4 linked regions of the Oryctolagus cuniculus genome follow. The protein of the gene in region 1 purifies or fractionates together with the protein of each later gene. This does not show direct contact. Links are inferred from orthologs where the notes say so. Each region holds a gene or a part of one and is shown in the gene's direction. Other genes may lie near its edges. The genes, in order: TXNIP, WWP1, NLRP3 and WWP2.

Region 1 (8,173 bases):
TGGCCACTCACTTGCCCCAAGAGACTCTAGTATTCCACTCTTCGGTTGTCCCTGAATACTTGAGGCAGCAACTTCCTAGCAGTTAAACAAGACAACAAACAGGATATATCCAAAACGTGTTTATTGGGAAGGTTTCCCACTCATCTTGGCGCAGGGTGCATGGCTGAAAACCATGATGATTTTACAGCATCCTGGGCACTTCACGTCCATGAAGTAGGAATCGGGGCTCTGCACCAGGCGCTTCTTCTTGTGTTTCCTCTTCTCCTCTTCAGGAGAGGGATGCAGGAGATCCTTTGCGAGAGGCATGTTCGCATGGGTCGGTCGTCACCGCCGGAAAGTAACACATTCTTATTTATCTATGACTTGGATCTACATACGAGGTACATCAAAAATTCATGGAAAATTGAAATAAAACACAAATTTATCTTGAAGCAAACAGTTTTGGAATCTATGCTTACCACACAGGCAGTTTTAAAATTTCACACTCTCATTCAAACCCTTGTTTACCACTAAACCATTTCTTAAGGAAAAATTGGGAGAGTTGGATAAAAGTAAAAGGAAAGATTACAGACTGGAGGTGGCAGAAATGATTAAAAGGATGAAGAAAAGCGTTTGTTTGCCTCAGGAGCTGTACAGCTGTTGAGCTCTGAATGTTTGTCAGGCTAGAGGTTAAAAAAAGGAGAAATGCAATCAGAGCCTTGCCCCTGGCTGGCAATGCAGTGCTGAGGGCATTTCCTTCCCTCTGTGAGCGCTCTGGCTCTAGTCTATGATCTACAGTAAAGCAAATAAACAATCACCAGTTGGCTTCCTATTGGCACTAGGGTGCGGAGGGGTGGAGATGGGCAGGTAAGGATGATCTAACTTGAAAAACTCCCGGATAGAGCCCTACTTTACTGATCTTCCTGGGCCTATCCTTTTTTTCTCATAAAACACAAGTGTTTGTACCCTGGTTTCAGAACAGGAGTTTACAAGATTTTTTTTCTTCCTTTGACCCAAGAACTAAGGAAAAAAGAATGGGGGAGCAGGTTTTTTATCAGAATACCGAGTTATAAGGTGAAAGGTTGTAAACAACTCTGTCCAGGAGGCCTCCATTTCAGAACATGCCTTGGCTCCAGGCCTGGTAGTGCTGCGGCTGCTGCTGCTGCTGCGGCCGCTGCTGCCAAAACAGTCTCTTGGCATTCAAGGGAACTTGGGCACAACACAGAGCAAACAAGTGGTCTGTACTGAGCTCTGCAAAATGGGAAGACTGAAGAAACTGGAGCCTCAGAGAAACAGAACGAGAGAGACTTGCCATAGGATTTTTAACATTTAACAATTCAGACCTTATACACATGTCCTTATAAATACATTATCAGCATTCCCTTGTCTCTAATATGTACCAATTCAATACCATTCTGATCCATTACTAAAATCTTTCCCTCCTCCTATTCCCTCATAATTTATGTGTTTACATATTGTAAATATACCAATGTTGAGTCATCTGTTTCGTTGTAATCAATGTTTCATATTTATATATACTTTCATACTGAACTAAAAGTACTCCAGGAAGCCACAATTTTTAACTTTCAAAATTTAGAGTCTCAACTACTCTGTCCCCAGTAACTCAGTCAACAGTGTTGACCAACTCAAAACAAATCAAGCCTAGTTGGTTAACTTTCTAGAACAGGGCGCCACCTCAAACCCACACACCCTAAGGATCAACATGTTCCTGGGGTTTGATACAGTATGTGTATGTGTGTTTCAACACAGTTTTCATGTCTGACTCTTGAGCTTGCTTAATACTGGGGTTGAGTTGTAACTTGCTAGCCTCAGGGTGTCAACCCAATTAAGGTGTATGAGGAAGGAACAGCAGTGAATAGCGTTCTTTTTGCTGAAAGGGTAGGATTTCTACACACTCACGGGCTTCTTATTTACTTCCTCGTCTAAAGCTTGGGGACATTATCTTCCTCTTTCCAGCCTAAGAAATGAGGTAACGTTCTCGTGACATCCCAACAGATATATGAGGGTTCTGTGAATCAAAGAAAAGAGAACTCCAGTTCTGCATACAAGTTGTTGTTATCACATTTAAGAACAAGTTCTCAGGAGTTAGCTCCCAAGGCATTTTACATTTAGCAGGGAAAACCCCACCTGACAGCCAACTGAAATCAACACAAAATGAAATTGGGGCTCCCTTTAGCTTGCCCTGTGCCCTGTGACCACCCTTCTTTCTCTTTCTCTTCTGATTTCCAAAAGCTTGCGAGGGTGAGGGATGAGGGGAACCACTTAAAACACAGGAAATTGTTCCTTCCAACAGGGGTATGGCTAGCTCTACACCGACACTTCTATTATGGCGATCTTTCTTGCTTTTCACCAGCGTGAGCGCTGCGTGGGGCAACAGATTTATGGAGGTGCCTTTGATTTCGTAGGCTGGAGGAGTAGATGAAGAGCAGAGCGAAAGTAGCTTATGAAGAAAGGGAAGCGTGAAGCATCCTTTCTTTCCCCCATTTTATTTTTCTTTCCTGGAGAAGCAGGGAGGGAGAGTTTATCAGAGACTGATGGCCATACCTCATTAGACCGGTAATGAGGTAAGCAGGGAACACAAAGTGTTCCCCGACCCTGCAGGTAGAAACTGAGGAGACGAGGGGATAAGCAACAGGATGTGCACACGCCCTGTTTCCGTTCCAGAGAACAGAGAGAACAGAAAGGAGGGTACACGCGACCAGGAACAGCCTAGCCCACGGTCCTAGAGCCCCCCGGGGCGGGAGAGGGTCGGAGCGGGCACCTCCCACCCATACACCGACGTCCAGAAGAGACTGAAGAGGGATCAGAATTAGTGACTTTTCGTCAGAGACAGCAGCTTTTGTTTTTTCATTAAAGATGCGGCGCCAAGAGGAGAGAGGGGGACTTTCTGAACAGTAGTAACAGCCGCACTCTCTGCCCTCTGTCCCAATCCTTAGGTATTCCTGGAGCAAAGGGATTCATTTTCACAGACTTGCGACTTGGGCGCCAGGAGTAAACACTCGCCTCTAAATTAACTGCACTGGCTAAGACTAGGCATGAAATTCCCTCATAAGCACTTTTTCCTTTTACCACAAAAAGCCGCGGCCAGACCAGAAGCGTCCACACCCGCCCTCCAAAGCCCACTTGCCCTACTAGGCTTCAGGGCAATAGGGACCCTCCTCCCAGCCGGCCCGAGAGAAACCGCTAGGACGCCCACCACCCTCTCAGCCCCCCTCGCTCCTCCGCCCCCTCCTCCCTGCGCCGCCGCGCCGCCGTGCACAACAACCATTTTCCCCGCCAGGAGCACACCGTGTCCACGCGCCGCTGTGAGCTCTCTGATTGGGCAGGCTCCTGGTAAACAAGGACAGGCAACCAATGAGAGCGCTGTGCACGAGGGCAGCACGAGCTCCTAGGCCGGCGCTCGCGTGGCTCCGCCAGCCCCACAACTATATAGAGCGGTTTCCGGCTCGCGGTAGAAACCTTTCTCTGCTCTTTTCACATGGGGTGCTGTTAGCCTCCCCGGCGAGAGCGCTCCTCCAGCTGTTAGGGAAAAATAAGAAAAGAACTTGGTTTTTTTTTTTTGAAATCTCTTGGCAGCTTAGAAAATTCTGGACACCTTTTCTAAAATTTAATTAAGATTCATCTGTTGCTTGTGTTTTATTTTGTGTTTAAACACAGCCTGCCTAAGGACACTCTTATTCCTTAGGAGGAGTGAAATAACTTACTGCAAAGAAGTTTGGATTTGGGGCTGTGGGTACCCCGTGCCTCATTTTTGACTTGGGCGTCAACTCTGCCCCATCATGGTGATGTTCAAGAAGATCAAGTCTTTTGAGGTGGTCTTCAACGACCCCGAGAAAGTGTATGGCAGTGGGGAGAAGGTGGCCGGCCGGGTGATAGTGGAGGTGTGCGAAGTCACTCGGGTCAAAGCCGTCAGGATCCTGGCTTGCGGAGTGGCTAAAGTCCTCTGGATGCAGGGGTCCCAGCAGTGCAAACAGAGCTTGGACTACCTGCGCTACGAAGACACCCTCCTCCTGGAGGACCAGCCCACAGGTAAGCGGCCTGGCTCCTCGCTGGAGGTTAGAGGCTGGTTGTGGAAGAGAATTGAGTAAGTGGAGCAGATACGTAATGTTTTAAGTTCCTTGATTTGGTTTGGTTTAGTTTTTTGTTTTGTTTTGGGAACACCCCCCACACCCTCCAGAAAGGGTGGTCTGTACAGTTTTGGGGGGATTCTGTGCTGTGGAGGTGATAGGGAGGGTATTCCCCCCCATGTTTAAAGATGTCTGTGTGCATAAATTGCTTATTCTTGGCTTGCTTGCTGTTGGACATGTTAGTAGGGTAACTGTCCTGCCTCTCTACATTGGAGGACTTTGCAACAAAATGCATCAGTCTCTCATTGAAGAATACAAGGGATGAAAATGGGAGTACTAAGATACCTTGCATGCTGCCTGAATGTCCCTTATCACACAGGTGCATTTTAGTGTAACATAAAACCTAATGGTTCCTTGCTTTTCTCTCTCTCCAGGTGAGAATGAGATGGTGATCATGAGACCTGGAAACAAATATGAGTACAAGTTCGGCTTTGAGCTTCCCGAAGGGTAGGCATTAGCTACATGCATCTTTGGGCTCTTCTAACAATCTCCCCCTCCTCTGATATCTTAACTGTTCTTGGGGAGCTTTTTAAAAATAATTGTTTACTTTTTCCTGACACAGGCCCCTGGGAACATCCTTCAAAGGAAAATATGGTTGTGTAGACTACTGGGTGAAGGCTTTTCTTGATCGCCCCAGCCAGCCAACTCAAGAAACAAAGAAACGCTTTGAAGTGATGGACCTTGTGGATGTCAATACCCCGGATTTAATGGTGAGGCTCATTTTAAGAGTCAGTTCTCTTGGGTCACAGGAGTGGTACCTAATTATATTAGGTGTTCTATTGAGGCATCTTAAAACAGCTTTTTCCCTCCCCTTCTCCATAGGCACCTGTGTCTGCTAAAAAGGAGAAGAAAGTTTCCTGCATGTTCATTCCTGATGGGCGAGTGTCTGTCTCTGCTCGAATTGACAGAAAAGGATTCTGTGAAGGTAAAAACCTAATACTCAGAATGGGTAGAAGAGTACAACAGAAATGTGGGTGTGGCTGCAGGACATGGGATGGGACAGAGGAAGCATCTGAGATGGTGCTGAGGATCAGTTGATAATGTTGCCTTCCTTCTCGTGGCTAGGTGATGACATTTCCATCCACGCTGATTTTGAGAATACATGTTCCCGCATCGTGGTCCCCAAAGCGGCCATCGTGGCCCGCCACACTTACCTTGCCAATGGCCAGACGAAGGTGCTGACTGAGAAGTTGTCATCAGTCAGAGGCAATCATATCATCTCAGGGACATGTGCATCATGGCGTGGCAAGAGCCTTCGGGTGCAGAAAATCAGGCCTTCCATCCTGGGCTGCAACATCCTTCGAGTGGAATATTCCTTACTGGTGAGTAGGGTGGCTCCTGATGATGTGCTCCAGCAGTCATGTGTTCCCTAGACCTCTTGTCTAATAAACGGTCATCTTCCTTTTAGATCTACATTAGTGTCCCTGGCTCCAAAAAAGTCGTCCTTGACTTACCGCTGGTCATAGGGAGCAGGTCAGGTCTGAGCAGCCGGACGTCCAGCATGGCCAGCCGAACCAGCTCTGAAATGAGTTGGATAGATTTGAACATCCCAGATACCCCAGAAGGTGAGCAAACTCCAGTGTCTTCTCCTCCCCTCTGCTCTGCTTGGGTTTGTAAAATGGCTGTCACCCAGTGTTATTTTTGGTCAGGCTGCTTACCCCCCTGTTTCTTTTTTCTAGCACCCCCTTGCTATATGGATGTTATTCCTGAAGATCACCGTTTGGAGAGTCCCACCACTCCTCTGCTGGATGATGTGGATGGCGCTCAAGACAGTCCTATTTTCATGTATGCTCCTGAGTTCAAGTTCATGCCACCACCCACTTACACAGAGGTGAGAACTGTCATTTGTACTGTTCATTTGTTCTGAGGCCTCTGTAGGAAATTGACTTGGAGTGTTACACAGGTTCTTTATAGTTCTTACACATACTGAAATGATCTCTTCTTTCTTGCTCCCAGGTGGATCCCTGCATCCTCAACAACAATGTGCAGTGAACACGTGGAAGAAGAGCAGCTGTACCCACTTGTTTCTTTCTGCCTCTCTTCCTGGACTGGTTTTTCAGAGACTTAGTCTCTGCACTGGGGTGTGGGTCCTCCCCAGCCTCTGACCTCCTAATGTAGGAGGTGATCAGCAGGCAGTCTCTTGGGCCTTAAAGGTGCAGACTCGTCGTCAGCCAGCACAATGTAATACAGGAGTGTTTGCTGGGTGGGTTCGAAAAGACAGTTCCGAGTGATTCAGGCCCAGCCTGTTTTCTCAGCTGTTCTTGAGGCATTTCACTAATTGAGTCAGGGATGTAAATGGCCTTTTGGTGAGGTCTTCCCAAGGTGGTTTTGGGAGAGACAATAGTTCGTTGTAACAACATGAGACCTTGAACTAACGTGCCATGTGAGATGGAGTCATTTTTTTAGCAAAGTGGCAAAATGAAAAGAATCATGGCCAAAACTTTGGGAAGAGGAGGTTCTTAAAATCAGTGTTTCCCTTTTTCCTTTAATGGGAAATAAAGAAAAACCCTGCAAGGCTGGTTTGGTTTGAGCTTTGGAGAGAACTTCCCTGTGAATTAAAAGAAGCTGCTGTAAGGTTATCTTTGCTTAGAATGTACTTTTACCTGGCTTAAAGCAGTAGTAACTATGCTCCACCAAAGGTCTTAAAAGCCATTTTTAGAGCCTATTGCACTGTGACTCCTATGGAAACATTTTCTTATAGGAGAATGTTTTTCTTTTTATGTGACTCCTTGGAATTGATTCTAAGGTGATACTCTTAGCACTTTAGTTCTGTCAAACATTTTTTTTCTTCTCATTGCAAATTAAGCTACAACTGATCTATGTCTCTAGGGATAAGCACAATGGCCAAAAAAAAAAAAAAAAAAAAAAGTTAGAGACTGTGTCCCAGTGTACAGAATGACATGATTCTGACACTCTAATCCTATGAAAAGGTTGCTGTTTTATAAAACCTTGCCCACTGTGACTCTCCAAACCTAAGGTGGAACTCTGTATCAGAGGGCCTCCAGACACTGCCATGAGAAACTGGAGGGCAAGTCTTCACTCAGGTCCTCTGCACCCTTAGCGTTTGGTCAGTCCGCATCAGCCATAGCACTTTGTTCGCTGTCCTGTGTCAGAGCACTGAGCGCCACCCTTTTCTGAGAAATACAGCCAGAAAGTATGTGAGCTGAAGGTGTTTTCACTTTGTGTTTTTGTATTTTAATTGTGTATCTTTTTGTATGATAAAATCTATATTTTGTATGTAACCAAATATATTTTTCACCCCAGGTGGGGCATTTGTAAAAAATAAAAAATTTTTAATGGCAAAAAAGTGTTTTTCTTCTTGTCTGTGATTCAGCATTGGAGCAGTTCTTAGAAGGCATCCTGAAACAACTTTCCCCCACTTCACAAAAAACTCCCCCAAAACTTGTGGAGAGAACACTCGCTGTTGATCCTGAAGTCTGGGGGGGCTTGGGGATGTGAAGAGAGAAGGAATTTGAACAAGTCTGGTCTTCCCAATTTACAAAGAACTGTAATGGGAACTGCTGGTGGGCTAAGCTAGTTGACGCATCCGTAGCTAATCATTACTCAGTTCATGAATTGCTGAAATTCGGGGATACAAGGTTTATGAGGAGATTGGGAAGGAAAGGGTCGAGGTTTTTCTTTTTCATAACGGTTTCATCATAGGGTTTCTTCCCAGTATAAACCTGGTATACTTAGTTTATGTACTGACAAGAATAACTAAGACTTCTAAGAGCTTACTTAGAAGTATCAAAATCGTTGGAAGCAGCTACTTTTTTTTTTTTTTAATTTCTGTAGTTTGTAGCCTGGTTTCTGGCCAAGCATACAATATAACCCAGTAAATGTTTGCTGAATACACAACCCTACGCTCAATTAGGATATGCCTTGGCAGTTTCTATGTCTTCCTTAGGGGTGTAACAACAGGCTGATCTCGTGATTTCACTTTAATTGATTTTTGAGAAATTCTGAGATGGCAGAGGGTAACACATAATACTTGGTGATTTAGATCTTCTGACACAGGTGCAGTTCTGACCATTACTTTGTTTTTT
Region 2 (7,864 bases), on another chromosome or scaffold:
TGGCACCATCCTTGGTCTCTACTCACTAGATGCAAGTGGACGCTCCATCCCTCTGCTCCCAATAAAAAATATCTCAAGACATTGCCAAATTCCCCTGGGATGCAAAATTGCCCCAGTAAGAACCACTGGATTAGTATGTTTGTGATCTACTGCTACACTGTTAAAAAAATAATCTCCAGGGTTGTTGCTGTGACGCAGTGGGTTAACGCCCTGGCCTGCAGTGCTGGCATCCCATATGGCCACTGGTTCGAGACCCGGCTGCTCCACTTCCTATCCAGCTCTCTGCTGTGGCCTAGGAAAGCAGTAGAAGATAGCCCAAGTCCTTGGGCCCCTGCACCCTCATGGGAGACCCGGAAGAAGCTCTTGGTTGCAGCCAATTGGGGAGTGAACCATCGGATGGAAGACCTCTCTCTCTCTCTCTCTCTCTGCCTCTCCTCTCTCTGTAACTGCCTTTCAAATAAATAAATCTTTAAAAAATAATCTGCAAAATGTAATGACTTAAAAAAGATTTATTATCTTACAGTCACCGCGAGTCAGGAGTGTGAGTGATTTAGCTGAGTGGTTCTCGTTCAAGGTGTCTGATGAGGCTGCAGTCAGATGCAATTATCTGAAGGGTTGGCCTGGACTGAAGGATCTGTTAGATGTGTCAATCGTATGGTGATTGGCAGGAGGCCTCAAATCCTGCTGGTTGTTGGCAGGATGTCTCAGTTCCGTGCTGTGTGGGCCTCTGCACAGGGCTGCTTGACGTGTCCTTGCCACATCTCAGCTGCTAATGATCTGAGAATCGGGAGGATCCACAAAGACTTATTTCCGGCTTGTCTTGGAAGTGACACACTGACACTTCTGCCACATTCTGTCTGTTAGAGGCAAATCTCTAACTATAGCCCACACCCTCTAGGGAGAGAATTAGGTCCCACTTTGTGAGGAGGAGAATAGCAACACATTTATGGAGATATTTTATAGCAACTACAGATACAGAAAGATTCTTTAATAAGTTGGCTGGGAAATACAATACCACGAGCTATGAAGAGAAAAGATAGAACAACAGTCCAAAATAAATCCTAAATAATTAAATTATTTATTGAAAAAAGGGAATTGTCAAACAAGTAGGGCAAAAGTAAAGGCAGATAAATTATGATCTCAGGATGGGAAAAGATATGTGAAATAAAACAGAAAACAAAAGCGGAGAAGACCTACAGTTTCACCTATGGTCAATGTCTACATTTTTATAATGTGCCATTTTGTGAATCTTCTGATAAGAAAATGGGCAGCTAACTGACCAATATTGTTTACACATTTGAAAATATACCATAATGACTTGGGCACAATGAGGAAGCACATTTATGGTTCTGTGGGAAAACTGATGTCAACAATTATAACAATAGTAATTTATTGATTAATGTATCTTCAATATATGTTATGTAACTCAAGTATTTTACTTATAGCAAGCCTCTTTTTTTTTTTTTACAATATCATGTGGCAGTATTATATCAATTTTCTAGCTGAGGTATAATCAGATTAAGTAACTTGGGCTAATCTCATAGTTTGTAGGCGACAACAGGGTTGGCTTATCCATTAAGCCTAGCAGGCACAGTGCCACAGGCTCACAATACTTGCACAGCCCATAAAAAAATTCTAATTTCTATTAAAACTAGGAGATAAAAAAATATAAACGTTTAGGTCAAAGAAAATATGTTAATGTGTAATAGTAATATAATTGTCTTTATACCAAAGCAGTGCGGAAGCACAACTTGTAATATTAATATAATTTACAATATTATTTCATGGAGGAAGAGGCCCACAAAGGTAAAAGTGCCCCGGGTCCTGAAAGTTAGGTTGGCAGAGCTGTTTTGATCACAGGTAATGTGACATTTGGACACATGCTCTTCCTAGAAGTCAACTTGTCAATTAGTTACAAAAGGACTAAACTTGTTCATATTTTCAATCACTTTGTAAGAAGTAACCTATGACAACAAATAAGGACATAGATAATGACTTGGGAAAACATATATATATATATATATATATATATATATAACAGTGTGCATTGGAAACCAAAGGAACATTCCATAATGAAAGAAAAATGGTTCACTACTGGGTATCAATTTAGTGGGCTAGATGAACTCTAGGCGCTTCTGTACAGAAACAAGCTGAGTGGGAAACTGAGCAACTGGGGGAGCTGAACGTGAGACAGAGAAGAGCAGGAAGCAGAAGGAAGCCAGCATGCACTCTGGAGGAGGGCAGATCTTGCTGGGAATTCTTAGGGAATTGCTGGGTGGGTTGGCGGGTGGGGGGGGGGGCGGTGAGTTGCAAATTCGTGGTGACATCTATTTAAAGGGACTGTTACGCAAAACGAAGAGGGCAAATCAGAGGACATCGTGGTTAAAGCACAGAGATGAGTGAGTACATTCAGGGAAGCGGAAGGAGTTTTTCCTAAGAGGAGGAACAGAGTATATGAGCATGAAAAGGGGCTTGACTATCGCGGTAACCTTCCTCAGGAAAGCTAGGAAGAGCCAAAGAATGAAGCAGCGGGGTGAGCGACGAGCTCAGACGGGCATTCAGAATGATCTTCGGGGATTCAATGGGGACCAAATTCAGGTGTGAAGGCAGAGGTCAGCACTCCTGCCCCGGAGTGGAAGGAAATGTGCATGTGTCCCACCAGGAGGTATTTATTGGATCCCACAAATATTCGTGGAGTGGCATCAACAATGACACTGCCACTCTACGAAAAGCTCTGTTGTGACAAAAGAAGAGAGAGCAGGAAGGGAGTTTTAAAGTCAATGGAAAGTTTAGGTGAGAAAAGTCTTAAAACATGGTTATGCTAACAGGTGAGGTTAGAGAAGTGCCAGGAAGGGTCCCGAGAGGGAGCAGAGCGCAGGTTCGCTTGGGAGAGTAGCAGGGACACCAAGCCTCTGAGAGTGTGGACGTAGGTAATTTGTTGGGGTAGGTGAGGTGTTTGGGCAAACACTCGAGAAATTCATGCATGAGTAATGTGGCCCTTACTCACTTGTATTTGCTCGGCCTTCTAAAAGCAATACACGGGCACTTCCCTAAACAGGCTGACTCGGCGTGAATGATGGAAATAATAGACGCTACCTGATGAGACTGTTATGGGGACTAATTGCGCTGACACATACTCTTGTTCAACATGTATTAGCTTTATCACTGGGCTGACGTGGGCAGGGGTGGGTTGTGAACGTTTTGATTACCAATATACAGAAATTGCAAGTCTTCTGGTATGTCTATCTTCTAAATGCATGTACTTTGGCAACGGGCTCTAAGTCAAGCACTCAGCTAGGTCAAGCAGACTTTATTAACAGCCTGCTTTCGCTGTAAGGCGTTCGTAAAAAAGGACGCCAGTGCCCTAAGGAGCCTGCTTGAGGTCACGCGCAGGTTGGGCCGAGTACCGGAAAGTCAAGTCAGCAGTACCTAGCACTGGCTTAAAGCCTCTTCCCAAACCTCTGCGGAAGCCCCACCCCTTTCACAGGTCCAGGCCACGCCCCCTTCCCCTATTGGCTGGCCCGCCCCCGCCCCCCCACACGAGTCGATCGCTCAGAAGACCCGGAGGAGTGGCCCTTCTAAAGGCGGCGGGGGTGCCCTTGCTGCGCATGCTCGCAAATCCGCCGGATTCCGGCTCCGGAGTTGGAGTCTTTAGGTGGCCGCTGCGTAGCGCGGTGCCCGGGCGGGTGGAGGGGGCGCGCGCTCTGGGCGCGGCGCCGGTGACGCGGGCACGCGGCGTGCTCCCGAGGAAGGGAGGTGTGGGGTCGACTCGGGGGTGGCGCGTGGCCGGGGTGGGGGTGGGGGGAGGGTCGGGTGTCGGCAAACGCGGCGTGCGGGTTTCGAGTGGCTGCAGGCGGCCTGGGCTGCCGGGGCCGACGCCTGGGTGGCTGCCGCTGCCGCTGCCGCCGCCGCCGCCGCGCCTGCTGCGAGATGGCGATCTTAGGCGCGGAAGGTTGAGGGCGCCCGCCGCGGGAGGAGGCGCCGCAGCTGTGGCCGTCCGCTGCCGGGCGCCGGCAGCTTCGCGCAGGGTAAGGACGCCGGGGCGGGGGGCGCGGGGCGCGGGCCCGGAGCCTCGGCCGCGGTGTGGGGAGTCCGGCGCCGACCGCCCCCGGGCGGGACTCTCTCTCTCTCTCTCTCTCTCTCTCTCTCGGGGCCGTCGGGGGACAGTTCGCGCCGCCGTGTCTGCCTTCTCCAGCCCGGGGGGCCTGGAGTTTTCTGGGCTTGGGTCACGGGTCTTGCCCGGAGTTGGCCCTGGCACAGGCCTGGGCGAATGATCCTGGAGCGGGGCGAAGTGTTTCCGTGACTCTGCAGCCGCAGTTCCCCGTTCCCTTCGCCTTCTCGTCTGCTGCTTCTACGTTTCTGCCTCACACCTCCCTCAAAGCACGGACTCCCTGCCCGTGCCCTGACTTTCACCCCCTTCCGCCGTCCCAAACCAAGGACTCCAGTCTCAGAACGTCTCTTTCTGACGTGCTTTTTTTTTTTTTTTTAAATCTGGCTTTTCCACTGATTCCGCAGCCACCCCCCCCCCCAACACAACCCCCACCTCTACCTTTTGTGACCTGGTAGATCTCAGTGACCTTGCAGATTTTGCCAGTCCCAGCCTCACGTGTGACTTCAATCCCCTTCTTTAATCTTTTTTTTTTTTTTTGAGGGGTGGTAGTGGTGGTGGTAAATTTAAATTGATACTTTGTCCATTGCTTTTACAACATTTAAATTGCCAGCCTCATATGCACAAGGACTGTGCAGAGCTTTTCTTTACTCCGTGGATGTGGAGTTGACTTTCTTTTGCTCCGGTAATTACGTGAGAGCTTCGTTTCCAAAAAGCAAAAACAAAAAACACACACCAAAAAAACAGTAGTTATCTATGTATAAATTTGATGTTTTTACTCCTTAAAGACAGAATATTTTGTAAGGGCTTGCTTTAGTTTTCCTTTTTTTATTTGGAAAGATTTTAATCTTTTTTGTGTGTAGGCTCATATGCATAAAGATTGGAGTTTTTGCTTTAAGATGCTAATGGTCATAGTAGCAAAAGCTAATGTCCGAAGTTATCTTTCTTCCCCCTCTCCTCTTTAATATTTTTACCTGAAACACCTGGTTTATAGCTGTCTGCAGGTTTCTACAAGAGTTCATGCTTATGTTTAAATCCATTTTTACCTGTCTCATCAAGTCTGTGTATTATGCAAGCAAAAAATCAGGTTTTAAAAAATAAAGGCATTCTTTTATTTATGTGACTTGTTTTTAGCCATAAAGCAGTATATTGTGTTACTGGAAATTATTATTTTTCATAAATAGTTAATATTTTTAAGTTGAAGATGTTAGTGGCCAAGAGTTGGGAGCTACTTGAACTGAAAAGTGTGAAATGTGTGGAATAGTTCTTTGGAACATAGCTTACAAACATTTCAAAGTGTTTTTCCCATAAAGTGAAGAACTGCTTGTAAGACCCACAACACCATCGTTTTGAAAAGCAGTCCTTACAATGCTTGTTTTTTGGAAGACTAACATGATAGAGGATGTCATAGATAAGGTCTCTGCCTTCAAAGAGATTGTAATCTTTGCTGTTTACCCCAGGACGATTGACATTTCTTTTCCTTCCTTGCACAGTTATTTAGCATCTACTGCATGAGGTATTTTGGGGAATACAAAGAATAATTAACAATTTCTGTCCCCAGTCCTGCGAATAATACACACAAATGCCCCGTTTGTCTTTTAATATATAGTAAAGTTTCATAATGATACAAAAATCCAACCAGAATTTAAATTCAGAAGTGGTAGAGTTGCGATCCTCTGGAAAGGTGCAGTTAGTTAGGAGAACTTCTGGCTTTCTAAATCTTAGTTTTGAAGAATGACTGACATTGGATAGACAGGGAAAGATAATCCAAGCAAAGAGAAGAATCTGAGAGGGCACCAAGTTCATACATCTGGGAAGAGGCACGTAATTATGGTTAAATGGAACACAGAGTTTTTGTACTAGGATAAAGGGTGATAAAGCTTTGGTAAAGGCTTGGGACTAGTTGTGGATTGTTTTTAATGCCATGCTAATGACCTTGAATTTCCTAAGCATTGAGGGCTCCGAAGATAATTTTTAAGTTGGGAGTGAAACAATTTTAGACTATTGTTTTAAGAGGCTTAATCTGGTAGCAGCTTGTATGAGTGGAGGACTAGAGATCCTGGAAGTAGGAACACTTCCTGATTGTCTTAATTGTAGGTGGGGAGGCTCTAAGCTGTTTTGGTAATAGGATTGGAAAGGAAAAAGGAAATAGAATAGCCAGAATTTGAGAGGGATCCAGGTAGATTGGAGGAATAGGACCATTTTGAGCAAGATCCTTGTAGACTTGACCCTCAGTGTTTGTGAGTTACTTTACAACTTTTTGCTGTTTATTAATCCTAACTAAAAAAGCTGCTAGCCTGGAAGACTTCCAGAGGCACAGTGAGGACTCTTCAAAGAGTTTGGAAAATGTGCATTTATTTTTAATTTCTTTTGAGAGACACCGCTCTCAGTTGCTGGTTCATTTCCCCAATGTTTGCAGCTGCAGGCTGGGCCAGGTGGAAACTGGGAGTCAGGAATTTAATCCAGGTCCCCTATGGAGGTGGTAGGGACCCAGCCACTTGAGCCATCACCTGCTGCCTCCCAGAGGCATTAACAGAACTGAAATCAGAGTGGAGCTGGGACTTGAACCCAGGCACTGTGATATGGGATGTGGGTGTCCTAACTGATGGCTTAAGTAGTAGGCCAAGCACCTACTTCACATTATTTTTAATTTTATTTTTGAAGTACTCTTGTATGCCTTATGGATATAATTTTAGGGGAGTCCATGGACCACCTGAAGCTCATTCATGAAACCCCCTTGGCCAGTCAGTTGGGCTGGGGGCTTCTGGGAGCTTTTTAAAATAGCAGAAGCTTCAGATTCTTCCATTCACTGAAAAGAAGACCTACTGTAGAGATAAACTGTGTATAAACCTAGAGACATAGTGTTATGCTTGTGTTGTGGTTGACAGTTTGCAGAGATTTTATACTGTCTCTTGTTATTTTATAGAACAAAGTAGCCAAGAGTATAAATGATTTGCCTTAGAGTTGCTGGTGGGTGAAGTGGAATCAGGAGTGGGGTGACAAAGATGGTTTTCTTTCTTGTATTCAGATAGTACAGCAAATTTACCATTACTTGGAAATACTTACTGCTTTAAGTGACCTCATCAGTAAGGACTAATTGATCCCAGGAAATGACCCTTCCAGCTCTGAACATTTTTAGATTCTTTAGTCTTAGATTTTCATTGTAATATCTGTACGCTTGTTTTCTCTTTGCCTGAAAGCTGGTAGGTCTGAGGAATGAATTGGTGGAGGGAGAGCAGGTAGCATTAGCACACTGATCATCTTGATAACTATTGTCCTGATATCTCTCAGCTTGGGAAGGGAGAGGGAGGTGATGTAAATGAAATAAACTTTAAGGACTTTCTAATCTTTCTGTTCCTATATGCCTTACTTATGAATACTCCTTTCAATCATTCAGGAAGCCCGAAGCAATTGAAAATGGAAACTTTACAGAACAAATGAAATGAGAATTCCTATTCAGTAATTTTTAAAAAAGGATTAAGTAGCTGTCTCTTACTATTATGGTTAAAGCACATTTTGATAAGTGAACAGTTGACATTTTTGTAACTGTTTTGTCTCTCTGGTAGGAAACCACGGCATGTTATTGTTTGTTGTCTGTTATAGTTCTGGAAACTTTGATTCCCTAGTTATTGGGAAGACTGGTCTGTTTAACTCTGCAGAAAAATATTATGTGATAATTAGCAGTGGAAAACCTGATAAATTAACCTTGTACTAGTGTCCAAAGAACTAGTTACTAATGTTTAATGAAGAAAAACT
Region 3 (7,373 bases), on another chromosome or scaffold:
GCACCTGAGCCGGCAGGAGCGGGAGCAGGAGTTGGTGGCCATCGGCAGGACCCACGTGTGGGACAGCCCCGCAAGCCCCGTCCGGGTGGAGCTGCTCTTCGACGCCGATGAGGAGTGCCTCGAGCCTGTGCGCACGGTGGTGCTCCAGGGGGCAGCGGGCATCGGGAAGACCATCCTGGCCAGGAAGATCATGCTGGACTGGGCTTCAGGGCAGCTCTTCCAGGACAGGTTCGATTACCTGTTCTACATCCACTGCCGGGAGATGAGCCTGGGGATGCACAGGAGCCTGGTGGACCTGATTGCCGGCTGCTGCTCCGACCCCAGCCCCCCTGTGAGCAAGATGTTGCACAGGCCGTCCCGTGTCCTCTTCCTCATGGACGGCTTCGACGAGCTGCAAGGTGCTTTCGATGAGAGCAGCGGGGCGCTGTGCAGTGACTGGAGGGTGGCCGTGCGGGGGGATGTCCTCCTGGGCAGCCTCATCAGGAAGAAGCTGCTCCCCGAGGCCTCACTGCTCATCACCACCAGGCCCGTGGCTCTGGAGAAGCTGCAGCACCTCCTGGACCGCCCCCGCCACGTGGAGGTGCTGGGCTTCTCCGAGGCCCGGCGGAAGGAGTATTTCTTCAAGTACTTCCTGGAGGAGGCGCAGGCCAGGGAGGCCTTCAGCCTCCTCCAGGAGAATGAGGTCCTGCTCAGCATGTGCTGCATCCCACTGGTGTGCTGGATCGTGTGCACAGGGCTGAAGCAGCAGATGCAGGGCGGCAAGCACAGGGCCAAGACCACCACCTCCAAGACCACCACAGCTGTGTACACATTCTTCCTGTCCAGCTTGCTGCAGTCCCGCGGAGGCAGCCAGGAGCAACGCCTCTCTGGCCACCTCCGGGGTCTCTGCTCCTTGGCTGCTGATGGCATCTGGAACCAGAAAATCCTGTTTGAGGAGCGTGACCTGAGGAGGCACGGCCTGCAGGAGGCAGAAGTGTCTGCCTTCCTGAGGATGAGCCTGTTCCAGAAGGAGGTGGACTGCGAGGCCTTCTACAGCTTCGTCCACTTGACCTTCCAGGAGTTCTTTGCCGCCATGTACTATGTGCTGGAGGAGGAGGAGGAGGAGAAGGAGGAGGGGGCAGGCACAGGGAGGAGCCCGCCGGCAAGGGGCTTGGACCTCCCACACCGAGATGTGAGGGTCCTTCTCGAAAACTATGGCAAATTCGAAAAGGGGTATCTGATTTTCGTTGTGCGTTTCCTCTTCGGCCTTGTGAATCAGGAGAGGGCCTCCTACCTGGAGAAGAAGCTGAGCTGCAAGATCTCCCAGCAAGTTCGGCCAGAGCTGCTGCGGTGGATCGAGACAAAAGCCAACGCCAAGAAGCTGCAGATACAGCCAAGCCAGCTGGAGCTGTTCTACTGCCTGTATGAGATGCAGGAGGAGGCCTTTGTGCGGGAGGCCATGGGCCACTTCCCCAGAATCGAGATCAACCTCTCCACCCGCATGGACCACGTGGTGTCCTCTTTCTGCATTGGAAACTGTCACAGCGTAGAATCACTTTCACTGGGGTTTCTGCATAATTCACCCAAGGAGGAAGAAGAGGAGGAGGAGGAAGAGGAGGTGGAAAGTCCACTCTTTGATGTGGGCTGCCCCAACCGCCAGGGCCCTCATGCCGCCTGCTCATGGAGGTAAGCCAGCTCATCTGCAGCCATGGGTAGAGTAAGCGTCTGCTGCTGCACCTTGTTCTTGTACTCACTTCCTCTCCTCTTTTATTTTCTTATATATTTGAAAGGCAGAGAGACAGCTCCCGTCCACTGGTTTACTCCCTAACCTGCAACATCCAAGGCTGGGCTGGAGCTGGAGCCAGGAGTCAGGAACACAATCCAGGTCTCCCATGTGGGTGGTAGGGACCCAGTCACCTGGAGCCATTGCTGCTGCCTTCCCAGGTCTGCACTGGCAGGAAGCTGGAGCCAGGAGCCGGAGAAGGGACTTGAACTCAAGCACTCTGATATGGGATGTGGGCATCTTTTAGATAATTTTTCTTTATGCATTTTCATCTACTTGAAAGGCAGAGATCGTGGGAGAGAGATCTTCCATCTGTTGGTTCACTCTCCAAATGCCTGCAACAGGAGCCAAAGCCAGGAGCCTGGAACTCCTGGTCTCCTGTGTGGGTTGCAGGGACTCAATCCACTACCTCCAGGAAGCATTAACAGGAAGCTGGATGCAGCAACCCAAGCTGCAGCTTCACCCACTGCATGGCTCCCTCCCCATGGGACATGGGTATCTTAACCACTGAGCTAAATGGCTGCTCCTGCTCTCCCTGTTCAGTTGTCTTCCAATCGCAGTTTCCACAGGCACAAAACAATGCCCCCCATCCCTGCCAGATCTCTTCATCGGACCCATTGACTCATGATTGGCAGATAGATGAGATGAGTAAGAAACAACCCCCCGAAAGAGTAAAGCAGTCAGCAAATGTTTGGGGATGCTGGTTTCTCACAGAGGTTAGCTGGGATGTGGGATTTCACACACACTCCAGCCTCTGGTGATCTGCTTGGGGCTCTGTGCCAGGCTCCAGCAGTAAGATCAGGACTGCTGGGCCTACGTAGTGTAGGGCAGAGATGTGGTCTCTGATCACAGAGGCGGGAGTCCAAGACCTAGGGCCATCCGTGTGAGGGCTTCTGAGGGGCAGGCTGTGCAGCTGGCCGCACCGGGTAAGACAGCCCTAGGCCCAGAGTCTCAGGGGAGAGGGACCCGAGCTGCCCTGAGACCTGAGGGCAGTGAGGGGCAGCCCAGGAAGGCGAGAGCTTGGGAGGGTGGGCAGTGCTTTGGGACCTGGGCACCTGGGAACGAGCCTTCCGAGAGAGATCGGGGGACGTGCACCCCTCGCTGGTTTTCAACGCTGTGGATGCTGAGGGGTGCCGGGTGTGGGAAAGCTCAGTCAGGTCGGTCCGTCCCTGCCCCACTGTGGTGAGACGCGAAGGTTCTGGAACCCGCCATCCTAGGCTCGGGGAGGAGCGCCGGGCTCTGCTGCCTGGGTGTTGTGGCTGCCCGCGGTCTGCACTGGGCGCCCAGCGGTAGAAGGCGCCAGTGTGTCAATCTTCACACGAGGCTGGGACAGGACCAAGAGGGAACTGGGTCTTTCTGCCGGCAGTGGTGAGTTCCCGCTCTTTCAGGCTGCCCGGATGCCCTCCGGCCCACCGCGGCCGGGAAGGACCGGGTCCTGCCATGGTGAACGGAGTAGCGTTCAGGGACAGGGATGGGAAGCAGGCCCATTTCCGAGACGGCCAGGAATTCAGACCTGCTGGAGACAGAGCCGACCATGGGGCTGCTCGCTGCCTTGCGCCTGCGCCCAGCCTGAGTGAAGCGTCCGCGTGGTGGTTCCTGGCAGGGGAGGGTGCCGTTCCCACGTGGCGGCCTCCAGCCACGTCCTCACAAAGTGAAGGGCGGGGCATCTCTGGGCTTCCTCTTGCAAAGGCCCTGATCCTGCTCACGAGGGCTCCACCCTCAGCCTCGTCACCCCCAGGAGCCCAGCCCCCAACCACAGCACACAGCACTGTGCTGGGTGAAAGTTTCAACCTAGGACCTCTGGAGACCCCACATTCAGACCAGAGCCCTGGGGAAGGAGAGGTGGGCAGACAGGAAAGGAGGCGGCCCTGGGTCTGTGGGGGAGCAGCCAGGAGCCTGAGCAAGAACTCCCACCCAGAGAAGGCTGGTGGCATCCCCGGAGCAGAAACTCAGCACTGGGTTCTGGTGACAGCAGCCACTCTCGGCCCCTGGACCTCGCTTAGTGGTCCCAGAACCTTCAGGGGGCCTGGTCAGCACAGCAGAATCAACACCCAGTCCTAGATATGGAATCAGACATGCGTGTGAACGAGAGCTGAGGGCGAGTCCAAGTGTCACTGCACAGAGAGCGACCTGGAGTTGGAAAGTCATTGGCAGAAGCCGGCCCTGCTGCAGATTCCAGCCTTGTGCCTGTGACAGCACCTGTGTTGCGGGTGACAGCACCTGCGATGCGGCTGTCAGCCCCGTGGGCTCACTCTCTCTCATTCACAGGAGGACCTGACTCCCTACGTCTCCCATAGTGTCTGGGCTGTGGTCAGGACAGCTGGAGAAAGGGAGCAGAAGGCCCTCTTGATCAGCCAAGCCTCAGGCTGCACTTCCGTCCATCATGAGGTGTCCGCCTGGTCTTCTCATGTCCTCAGCCCCTTCTCCCTCCAGGAATCGCCTTTGGTTCATGACCCCTTTCTTAACCCTAGGAAGTATCCCAGCCCCTGCGCCAGTTTCTATTGTGGAGCCTGATTTCCTTTGCTCTCCTTCCTTCGACCGCTAGATTGGTGAACTCCTGTCTCACGTCCAGCTTTTGCCGGGGCCTCTTCTCAGTTCTAAGTACCAATCCAAGCCTGACAGAACTGGACCTGAGTGACAACAGCCTGGGAGACCCTGGGATGAGGGTCCTGTGTGAAGCGCTCCAGCATCCCGGCTGCAACATTCGCAGACTCTGGTAAGCCCATGGGTGTGCAGTGCTGACAGAGGGGAGACTGGAGAAGGCTCTTAGGGACTGCATCAGGGCGCAGGAACTTCCCACGCTGTCATGGAAACAAAATGCCCCAGGGGTGGTGCTTGGACATTGGACAGCAGAAGCTTATTTCCTCACAGCTCTGGGAGCGGCAAGTCCACGGCCCGTAGGGTTGGTGGCCTCTGAGGTTCGCTCGTGGGCTCCTTGATGCTGTCTTCCCCTGTGTCCTCAGGGGTCATCCCTGTGCATCTGCGTCATGAACTCTTCCTGCATTCCTGTGAATGGGGCCCACACTGAGGACCTTGCTTTGGCTTAACTTCCTCCTTGGAGACCCTGTTTCCAAACCCAGCCATGCTCTGAAGTCAGGGGGGCAAGGGCCTCAGAACAGGAGCAGGGGGAGGCAGAGCAGGTCAGAGGCCAAGTGCTTGGGAGCGTTGGCAGGGGAGAAGGAAGGGCAGCGGGGAGGAGAGCCAGGCCCCGCAGGTTCCCTTTTCTCTGGCCTCCCTCAGAGCCCCAGACTGGAAAGCTTCGCCACACCACAAGGGGACAGGAACTAGAACACACCAAAATGTGATTTTCTCTTTCCTTTAAAAAAAGATTCATTATTTATCTGGAAGCCATGTGCCTCTGTGATACTCTCCATCACCCCCACAAGAGTCCTCCGCAGGTCCCCGGAGGGCAAGGCACAGCAGGAAGTCCAGTGACACTGTGGGGTTTGTGGGACAGAGGAGGCCTCCTTGTCCATTTGCTTGTAGTTGGCCTGGAGGTGGGGTGGGAAGGAAGGAGTGCAGCAAGTGCAGGCCCCGTGGACGCTGGCGTGGGAGGGGCTGTGGTGTCATTCTCGCCCCATGGGGCGCACACATACTGGGGTGTGTGTGGTCACAACACTTTCCCATTGCTACAGCAATGACTGAGGCTGAGCACTTAGGAAGGAAAGGAACTCACTTAGCTCACAGTTTCACTAGTGTGAAATCCAGACAGCACGGCCCTGGCCCTGGGAGAAACACAGTGAGACAGAGAGGGGAGATCGCAGAGGGGGAGTTGGGAATCTGAGTTAGGAGTCCAGTGCACAGACTGAAGTGGCTTGGTCTGTCAGAAGGGCTCACTGTCCTGGGAACTAAGTGGGTTCCACAAGAGCTACCTTAGTCCCTTCTGAGGGCCACTCCACGGTGACCTCACCTTCCCCTGTAGACTCTACTCTTAAAGGTGCCTCCACTTCTTAAGGGCACCAGGATTTCCACATATGAACCTTGGGAAAAACAAACCGAGGCCTCTGACAAGTCCCTCATCACCAGCGACGGCTCCTTAAGTTTCTGCTGCAGGGCACTTTAAGTGAGGTGGAGCACAGTGCGATGAGGGCAAGAAGTAGCTGGGCACAACCCCACCAGGGGCATGGTGCGGGCCTGGGCCTGGGTAGCTCCGGGGTGGGTCGTGGTGTACCTGGTGCTCTTTGCTGCCAGGCCATCACGCAGGGGTGCTCTCCATGCTCATGATCCCAGGCTGGGAGCTGCTGAACTGTGCTCGTGAGCTCGCTGGTCAGGTGATGCGCCCTTGAGAGAGCAGGGTGTGCCACCCTATGTGGGTGGCAGGGACCCAAACGCTGCCTGGTACTAACGCTGACGCTTTGTGCTTGGCGCCAAGGCTGGGCCGCTGTGGCCTCTCCCACCAGTGCTGCTTCGACATCTCACTGGTCCTGAGTGGCAGCCAGAAGCTGGTGGAGCTGGACCTGAGTGACAACGCCCTGGGAGACTTTGGGGTCAGGCTGCTGTGTGTGGGGCTGAGGCACCTGTCCTGCCAGCTGCAGAAGCTCTGGTGAGTCTGCACCACCAGGTGCCCGGGTCTCTGGGTCTCAGTCTGCTGTCCCTGTGCCAGGGAAAGACAGAAATAGAGTAATACCTGCCTTTCCGGTGGGTGGAGCCTGGCTGAACAGTGCTGGGCAGGTTGCTGCTTTATGGGAGAGTTGGAACCACCCCCAGGTCCTCTGCACACACACAGAGTGCCCCATGCTGGGGTGCTGCCCTTCTAATGCTTCTGAGAGGCCAGAACCTTTAAAGTTTATTTATAAATAAATAAAGACAGGAGAGGGAGAGAGAGAGAGGTAGAAGGAGGGGGAGAGGGAGAGGTAGGGGGAGAGGGAGAGGGAGAAGGAGAGGGAGACGGAGGGGGGAAGAGAGAGAGAGAGGAAGGAAGGAAGGAAGGAAGGAAGGAAGGAAGGAAGGAGAGAGAGAGAAAGAAAGAAAGAAAAAGAAAGAAAGAGAAAAAAGAAAAAAAAAGAAAGAAAGATCTTCCACTCATTGGTTCATTCCCCCAAATGCCTGAAGCAGCTAGGCTGGGCCAGGCTGAAGCCAGGAGACAAAACTACACAGGGATCTCCTATGTGGGTGGCAGGGACCCAAGTATTTCAGCCATCACTGCTGCTTCTCAGGGTGTGCATTAGCAGGAAGCTAGAATCAGATGCAGAGGCAGGACTCAAACCTAAGTATTCTATGTGGGGTCTGGACATCCAAGTCTTGTCTTAACTGCTGTGCCAGCTATCTGCCTGAGACTGGAATTTCAAGGAGAAGACAGTATTGGAAAGGGCCAATTTCCACCCATTGGGATGACTTTCATAAAATAAATGCAGACTCACAAGAAACCAACAAGTGTTGGTAAGGATGTAGGGAAACTGTGCACTGTGGGGGAGGCATGAAGCAGTGCAGCCATGGTGGGCACAGCATGGCAGGTCCTCCCACAGGAGAGCATGGCCATTGTCCAGCAATCCCACTTCTAGGTCAGTGCACACCAGAACTGGAAGCCGAGACACATATCTGTATCCCCACACCTACAGTGGCACCAACAGTGGCTAGGAGGTAGAAGAAACCCAGCTGTGCCTTGATGTAT
Region 4 (7,373 bases), on another chromosome or scaffold:
ACAAAGCACTAACGTGGAAACGCGTAGTTGGTGTTTTTATTTTTATCCATTTATTTTTAACCAGTGGCTTTTTTTAACCTCTGTGTTCTGCTGTTTCTTGTGTTTAGTCTTCAAGCGCTTCGATTGACCATGATCCCCTGGGCCCCCTCCCTCCTGGCTGGGGTAAGTACGGAGCTCAGTGCCTGGACGCTGGCCGCCACTCTGGCCTCTTCTCCCGCGTGGCTCCCTCCCTCCCTCCCGTGCCTCGCTTGCCCGTTCGCTTCTCTGCAGCCCACTCTAGGGATGCACAGCCAGGGCGGCGGCCCGTGGTGGACCTGGGAGGCTGCGATGGAAATTGAGCTCCCCCAGGCCACCGTGGCGTTTACCTGGCACAGCTGTAGGAGAGTGAACCCAAGACGGGCGCACCCGACCTGCTGTGGGGCCGCGCGCCAGGCTCTTGAGTTTCAAGGTGTCTACTCAGTAATCCGTCCTGTCACTCAGAGATTTTGACTCTGATTCCCAAACGGGTTTGTTTCGGCTGGGACCGTACGGTTGGCAGGAGCTACCCTAATAACCCTTGTTTGCAGCTGAGATGTCGGAGGGCTGCAGCTCGCTTTGAGTAGCGGAAGCCTTTTTGTCTGTGGCACGCAGTGAAGAGGCCGCAGGGAAGCAGATGAGGGAGCAGAACCCTCTGAAAGTGCACCACTGCGAGTTGCGGTGCCAGGCCGGGGGCTCCTGCCGCTGCGGCCACCTCTTAGAGTCCCGGTCCCAGGTGCCTAGGTGCCACCCGCCCACGGTGCTTGAAGGGGCTGGCACTCGTGACTCAGGAGAGATCGTGGTCTTTATGGCTGTCCTGAGAAGAGGCGGCGTGTACGCGGGGGCCATCAGAGGTGGTGAGACGTGGCACAGCCTGCAGCTCTGAGCCGGGCCGGGATTTTGTTGTTGTTCAATCTTGCAAGAGCCCCTGGGAGCCAGAGGGCAGTTTTCAAAGGACTCAGCATGTGCTGGGTTTGATTTATTGGTTGGGCCAGGAGAAGACAGGAGACGTTGGCTTGCTGGTGTTCATAGGCGGCATGAGCCTAGCTGGAGCATCTCTGAGCAGCAGAGGTGGGGAAGTGTGTGAGCTGAGGATGGATTGACGGGCACAGCCTGGGGAAGCACGCGATCTCGGAGCAGAAGCCGCTGCTCCCGGTAGGAACTGAAGACGTTGTGTCAGCCCCCGTGGACCTGCTGGGTGTCAGGTGGTGAATTGCCACTGCATTCCAAAGTGCTCAAGGGACCTTCTTGTTCTTCCAGTGCAAAATATCAGCTCTTGAGGCTTCTACACGCTTCTGGACTTCTGTCTAGGGAATCCCTATGCACATAGTTGGCCTTGCCTGGCTTCTCGGGCCCACAAGAGCCCGTAGGTACCTTGGAGATTAGTAGTAAGTCAGATGTAAAAGGGTAAACACTTGGGATCGCTACCTAAACCAGCCATGGGGAAAGCGTGCCGGGTTAAACAAGAATCCGTTATGCCATTTGGTAGTCGGTGACCTAAAACTGGGGGACTGGAGTTTGTTTCTGATTCTGTAGAAGCAGGTAGTGTAGCCCGGTCAAGTGAGTTTATTTCGGTGCCAGTTCTGAACGATGGTCACCAAGTGAGAGCCACTAAAGAGTCTGGAAAACAACTCCCAGATGCTCAGAGGGAAAATATTTGAGATGAGAATAGGGAAGCCATAAGCCGAATCACTGCTGTTTGCCAGCGATCGGAAAAGACCCATAAGACTGTACTGGTGCACAGCCGGGAAACAGAACTCTTTGCCCAAAGGCCGGGGGCTTTCCTCTGTGTTGCTTCCCCAGGGCTGTGGGGGAGGCCGCCTCCCCAGGGATGGGAAAGGACGAGCAGGAAGGGCAGCGGGGCCAAAGGAGCCGGCACTGGTGGCGAGCATGCTGTCGGTCTGCCGGCGTTCCTCCGGCACTCAGCTCCTGGGACCCATGGTTGTCCCAGGCACTGCCGTGGGAGCTGGGATGCCTCAGGTTTAGATCCGTCTGCTGCTGCTCGCTCGTGGCTAAATCCGCCCCGGCCCGCCTGCTCCTGAAAGTGAGGTTGAGCTCGGCACTCTCTGGAGACTGCCCCAGCTCCCGCAGGCAGCTCTGTGGGCCAGGAGAGGTGTCATGGCAGCATTTGTGCAGTGCCAGGAAAACGGCCCAGGGCTTGGACAGCCGGGCCAGACCCCCGCTAGGCTCCACTCAGTCCTCAGCAGAGCGGCCCTAGGGCGTACAGTTCGGAGCAGGGGCTCCCGGGCGGGCAGGACCCTCTCGGGCAGCTTCCCCTGCAGGTCAGTTGCACGCCGCCTCGGCAGCTCTGCCGCAGCTCCCTGCACCTCCTGTGCTTCCTTGCCTGTTTTTATTTTTATGTTACTTGTTTTTCCAGCTTTATTAGAGTGTGATTGATAAATAGTGCTTGTGCTTGGGACATTCTAGTTGAGTAGGAGAGAGCAGATAAGGCAAAGAGGGATCAGCCCTTGGCTTGGCGCTGGGACCATTGCAGCCCGATTCTTGAGTGGGGGCTGCTGGTCCCCCGCGTGTGCCCCTTAGCTTCTGGGGAGGGAGGATTGTCCGACTTCTTCCCTCGCGTTTCACTGTGAAAGGGGCAGAACCATCCACATCCCTTGTTTTCAGGATGGAAACAGATTTGAAACCCAGGACTTTCCTGGAAAGGTGACCACCTTTGGGTCTGGGGCCTTGGCCCCTCGTTTTCTCTCCCACTTGCCTGGAGTGGATGGATTACCCGCCTGCGCCAGCCTCGGGGTGGGGCAGGGCCTGGGGCTGAGGGCGTCCCTGCTGCCACAGCTGGATGCAATTATGCCTGGATTCAGCCGGCTGCCCCCTCTGTGTCGCCACACCGCCCCCCTTCCTCTGACAAAGCAAACAACCAGAGAGGTGCGGGATTCTTCCCCTTGCAGTGTGTGTGTCCGTGCCCCTGCCCCAACCCCAACCAGGGAAGGACCATTCTGTGCTGTCTCCCAGTGGCCGGGTCCGCTTCTCCAGCAGGCTGGTGTCGGACAGGAAAGCAGACGCAGCACCCAGGAGCCGGGGCTGCGGGATGGCCCCAGCTCAAGCTGCTGGATTTTAATTGTTCCCTCTCTTTTCTTCTCCCATGGCAGAGAAGAGACAGGACAATGGCCGGGTGTATTACGTGAACCATAATACACGCACGACCCAGTGGGAAGACCCTCGGACCCAGGGGTAAGGGTTTTGGGAGTGAAGGGGGCTGGGCTGGGCCTGTGTGCAGCTCCAGCATTGGCCAAGTGGCCTTGGACCACTTTGTCCTGCAGGGCTCCTGCTGGGGACCTTTAGCCACACACATCTCCCCATCTAGTGTCAGCCTCTGAGAGCTTGGAAGTGGTCCCTGAAGTAGACCTTTCCGCTGGCGGTTGTCGCTGGTCTGTATGCCGCTGGTACTGGCTGCTGAGAACTTGATCACAAAGAGGTTGTGGGTACGTCCATCCAGCACTGCCAACGTGCAGGGCCTGGGCACTCAGCCACCGCCGTCCACCCGGGGCTGGATTTTTGGCCTTGGGATAGAAGATGGCTTCTTTACACCCATGACTTGGATCATGCCAAGTGCATATCCTAAATCCCCCTTGTACCCCCAAGGGCTGTGTAGCACTGGGTGAAAGCAGAGACAAAGCAGCACTTGGGAGACCCCGGCCTCCTGTGCACTGGGGCCCGGAATGCGGGGCCTGGCCTTCACCCCGTCCCTCCTGTTTGCAGGATGATCCAGGAGCCGGCACTGCCGCCGGGCTGGGAGATGAAGTATACCAGCGAGGGCGTGCGGTACTTCGTGGACCACAACACCCGCACCACCACCTTTAAGGATCCTCGGCCAGGGTTTGAGTCGGGGTAAGGATGTCAGGACGCCCAGCAGTGTCCCGTCAACGCGGGCTCCGGGAGGCCCACTGCTGGACGGAGTGGGGACCCCTAGACGTGCTCTGCTGCTTACTGCCCCCTAGCGGCCAGTGCTGATGGCAAGCTGAAGGCCGCGGGCAGCAAGGGCTCTCCCCGCCTTTGGCTGCCTGGTGTTTGTCAGAGCAGGACTCTGTCGTCGTTTCTGGATTCTGTTTTTTGGCTTTTCAGAGGCCTCACTGGCAGTCCCTTCTCTCCTATTCCTTACTCCTCGCCTTTAAGTTAACACGGCATCAGCTTTGCTGGGCTAATGGAGACAGGTCGCTCAGTTCCCGAGAGCTCACCTGGCTTCCGGAACACCTTTCCTTTCCAGGACGAAGCAAGGCTCCCCTGGTGCCTACGACCGAAGCTTCCGGTGGAAGTATCACCAGTTCCGCTTCCTCTGCCACGTGAGTTGTGCTCCCGGGACTCCCGCGGCAGGTGGGGGCATCGAGTCACTTCAGCCTCCTTCCCCAGCCCAGCGTGGGCACAGGACTGCGCGTGTGCCACCACAGCTGGTTGTCCCCACGGGGCCAGGCTCTCACGTGACAGCCTCGGGGCCGGGCCGCCTACCCTGGCAGGTGCGCACCAGGTAGGCCGGTCACCCGGAGGCCTCAGTGTGCGGCGTTCTCTTCTCTTCCCAGTCCAATGCCCTGCCCAGCCACGTGAAGATCAGCGTCTCCAGGCAGACCCTTTTTGAGGATTCTTTCCAGCAGGTTAGAGAATCAGCCCGGTGCCCAGGTTATGACCATGAGCCTGGGGGCCGTGTCTGTGGAGGGGGCGGGCCTGAGATCCCTCCTACCCCTTCCTGCCGTGGAAGGGTGAGTGGCAGGCGGGCCACGATGCTCTGTCTCCCCAGATCATGAACATGAAGCCCTACGACCTGCGCCGCCGGCTCTACATCATCATGCGTGGCGAGGAGGGCCTGGACTACGGAGGCATCGCCAGGTGAGCTCAGGCGTCGCCGCCGCCCCGGCTGCCAGCCCGCGGCTTCCCTCGTTCAGATTCATTGCCACGGTGGGTGTGGGGTGACAAACATCTAATCCCCAAGGCTGGTCCAGATGGGCGCTGGGTGAAGCTGGGTCCTGGAGTCCCTGCTGGGCCGGGTGTTAACACTTTGCATATCGGGTCCTGAGGAGGCTGGGGGGCTCAGGGCAGGGGCTCAGGGCAGGGGCTCTCTTAGGAACCAGTGTGACCTTGCTTCTATACGTTACCCATCAGCGCAGCAGTGTCAGTGGGCAGTGGCTGAGCCCTGGGGCCATGGCACTGTCACCCTCTGACCCCAGGCTTCACTTCCTCCTGAGGCACCAGGGCAGGTGCTGTCAGTCGTCCTGATGGGCGTGCCTGGGGGATGAGCCGTGTCACACTCGCACTCACAGGGCCTCGCTGGCTCCTCAGCTGCATGTCACGTGCCTGGAGTCGCCGAACGTTGCCACAGTGTTGCTTGGCCGCAGCCTGTGCACCACAGAGTCCCCAGGCCCTCTGGGCAGAGGCTGCCTGGGACAGTGAGGCGGAGGGGCCCTGGCAGAGAGGAGGAGCGTCCCGGTGGCGGTGCGCTCTCGGCCCGCTGACCTCTCCCGGTGCGGGGATGTCTTCGCTTGGTGTTGGGTTCCTCGGTTCTGCGCCCCTGTTCGCTGCTGGCGTTGCCTTCTGCATCGGCCCCCGCGGACGGACTGCTCTTTCTCCTGTGGTGACCTCTCTCCAGGCTCTGCTTGGTGGGCTTCTGGTGTGGCTCCTGCCTGTGTCTCTCTCTCTGTGTCCTGCCAGTGGTTTTACCCTATGGTAGGTTACGTCATGCTGTTCTACCACAGGGTAGAACCACGGACAGGATACTGGGGCACCCTCTGCGTCGAAGGACTCCTCGTCTGCCCAGCCACATCCGCCCAGCAGCCAGGGACCGGCCCCCCGGGATGGCCCCTGCCAGCATAGCCCAAGCCCAGGAGGACTCAGAACTCTGGCTTGAGGCTTGTACCTAGGATGCGAATAGATGCCAAAGCGTGGGTGTTGGGTCTCACGAGAGCGCGGTGTGGGGAAGGGAACGGTGAGGGGTCTGGAGTGCGGGAAGGGCGGAGTGCACGGGTGGTGAGCTGCTGCCGGGGCTGGGGTCTGCAGGCTGGAGGCAGCAGGGTTGCAGGGTCTGCACGGTCAGGGCGTGGGAACATGTTACCACGTAGTCAGCCGCGTTCTGCTGCCTGCCCGGCGAGGGAGGGCAACAGGTGGCTGCTGTTCACATGGCACCTTTGCAGGAAGATTGTCCTAAAATGCGGCCATCTATGATACTCTCATATAGTGCCCTTGTGCAGTGCACAGCTCACACAACTGTGCCCGGTGGCCCAGGGTACAAGCTCTGAATGCTGGCATGTAAAGTCCTGGCGTGCATTACCCGGGAGCTGCCAAGCCCACGGGCAGGTCTTCCTGGGCATCCTCCTCAAGTGCGCACTGTCCTGGCTCCCATAGCTCTACGCCTTCGGCTCACCTAGGTCTGTGCCATCCAGCTTTGTGCCCTGCTGTTCACTTCAGTTCTCCCGGCTCTGGTCACGTGTTTGCGGCCTTTCTGATCCACGACAGCAGAGTCAGCGCGTCTGTGCAGGAGCCCAGGACAGATGCGTTATTCTTATTTCCTCCTTCCCTCACAGAGAGTGGTTTTTCCTCCTGTCCCACGAGGTGCTCAACCCGATGTATTGTCTGTTTGAATACGCTGGGAAGAACAACTACTGCCTGCAGATCAACCCCGCCTCCTCCATCAACCCTGACCACCTCACCTACTTCCGCTTTATTGGCAGGTTCATTGCCATGGTAAGCAGGGCACCCTGGTCCCAGGACCTTCCTCCTCCTGCTCAGGGGCCCCAGGCGTCCGGACAGGGCGGCCCCTGAGGAGGCTGGCCCCTGTGTGCGGGCGGAAGTGCAGCACTCCCAGCAGCCTCCTGTCCTGGCCTGAGCCCTCTCCTCACAGGCCTAACAATAAGATGCAGATGACTGGGGGGGGGGGGGGGCCTCTGGAGAAACCCGGCTTTCTCAGAGGCCCGCAGGGTGCTGAAGGGTTTCCTGTGCTGATCGCGTAGGACTGGAGCTTCACTGAGCGTAAAGGCCCGCTGCAGAGGGCACCGCGGCCTGTGTCCATCAGGAGCCCTGGGCGGGAGTGGTTGGGGAAGGCCGGCCCCACCGCTCAGGCCTTCTGGATGGGGCTGGCGGGCAGCGCTAGCTCAGAATAGAGCCCCGGTGGACCAGCTGCTGTGAGCCTCAGAAGGATCCCTGAGAGACAGGCGAACAGCGTGGGGGCCCTGCTCTGCCTTTATCCAGAAACGGGGCACAGCGTGAACATGGAGGGGTCCGCCGTGTGCCCCGTGCTGAGCGTCTGTGTGAGAGCGCAGACCCCAGAGGGAGGAGCGGGCACCCGCGGAGCCTCCCGGGTAGCTGGAGGCGTCTCAGTGCCGGCTTCCCTTTGCTTTCTCCCTGACTTCCCGAGT

What was found.
Region 2: the proteins of TXNIP (region 1) and WWP1 purify together in Homo sapiens (affinity purification with mass spectrometry; 4 studies listed by BioGRID and IntAct, counting the BioPlex papers as one, with this or other methods). This does not show direct contact. The link is inferred for Oryctolagus cuniculus from reciprocal best matches to the Homo sapiens genes TXNIP and WWP1.
Region 3: the proteins of TXNIP (region 1) and NLRP3 purify together in Homo sapiens (affinity purification with western blotting, with the first as the bait; 4 studies listed by BioGRID). This does not show direct contact. The link is inferred for Oryctolagus cuniculus from reciprocal best matches to the Homo sapiens genes TXNIP and NLRP3.
Region 4: the proteins of TXNIP (region 1) and WWP2 purify together in Homo sapiens (affinity purification with mass spectrometry; 3 studies listed by BioGRID and IntAct, with this or other methods). This does not show direct contact. The link is inferred for Oryctolagus cuniculus from reciprocal best matches to the Homo sapiens genes TXNIP and WWP2.

What each region holds. Positions count from the first base shown.
Region 1 is NC_091438.1:48,894,782-48,902,954, forward strand, and holds TXNIP (thioredoxin-interacting protein), read left to right. Parts: upstream 1-3,779; coding exon 3,780-4,029; exon of another isoform or gene 4,030-4,501; coding exon 4,502-4,574; exon of another isoform or gene 4,575-4,689; coding exon 4,690-4,837; exon of another isoform or gene 4,838-4,949; coding exon 4,950-5,052; exon of another isoform or gene 5,053-5,192; coding exon 5,193-5,449; exon of another isoform or gene 5,450-5,535; coding exon 5,536-5,692; exon of another isoform or gene 5,693-5,806; coding exon 5,807-5,958; exon of another isoform or gene 5,959-6,083; coding exon 6,084-6,119; 3' UTR 6,120-7,434; downstream 7,435-8,173. UniProt on the Homo sapiens protein: May act as an oxidative stress mediator by inhibiting thioredoxin activity or by limiting its bioavailability.
Region 2 is NC_091437.1:111,619,902-111,627,765, forward strand, and holds the start of WWP1 (NEDD4-like E3 ubiquitin-protein ligase WWP1), read left to right. Parts: upstream 1-3,651; 5' UTR 3,652-4,028; intron 4,029-7,864. UniProt on the Homo sapiens protein: E3 ubiquitin-protein ligase which accepts ubiquitin from an E2 ubiquitin-conjugating enzyme in the form of a thioester and then directly transfers the ubiquitin to targeted substrates.
Region 3 is NC_091437.1:1,748,943-1,756,315, forward strand, and holds part of NLRP3 (NACHT, LRR and PYD domains-containing protein 3), read left to right. Parts: coding exon 1-1,665; intron 1,666-4,307; coding exon 4,308-4,478; intron 4,479-6,134; coding exon 6,135-6,305; intron 6,306-7,373. UniProt on the Homo sapiens protein: Sensor component of the NLRP3 inflammasome, which mediates inflammasome activation in response to defects in membrane integrity, leading to secretion of inflammatory cytokines IL1B and IL18 and pyroptosis.
Region 4 is NC_091449.1:53,023,238-53,030,610, forward strand, and holds part of WWP2 (NEDD4-like E3 ubiquitin-protein ligase WWP2), read left to right. Parts: intron 1-107; coding exon 108-162; intron 163-3,125; coding exon 3,126-3,207; intron 3,208-3,735; coding exon 3,736-3,864; intron 3,865-4,240; coding exon 4,241-4,316; intron 4,317-4,550; coding exon 4,551-4,622; intron 4,623-4,765; coding exon 4,766-4,854; intron 4,855-5,670; exon of another isoform or gene 5,671-5,732; intron 5,733-6,542; coding exon 6,543-6,702; intron 6,703-7,373. UniProt on the Homo sapiens protein: E3 ubiquitin-protein ligase which accepts ubiquitin from an E2 ubiquitin-conjugating enzyme in the form of a thioester and then directly transfers the ubiquitin to targeted substrates.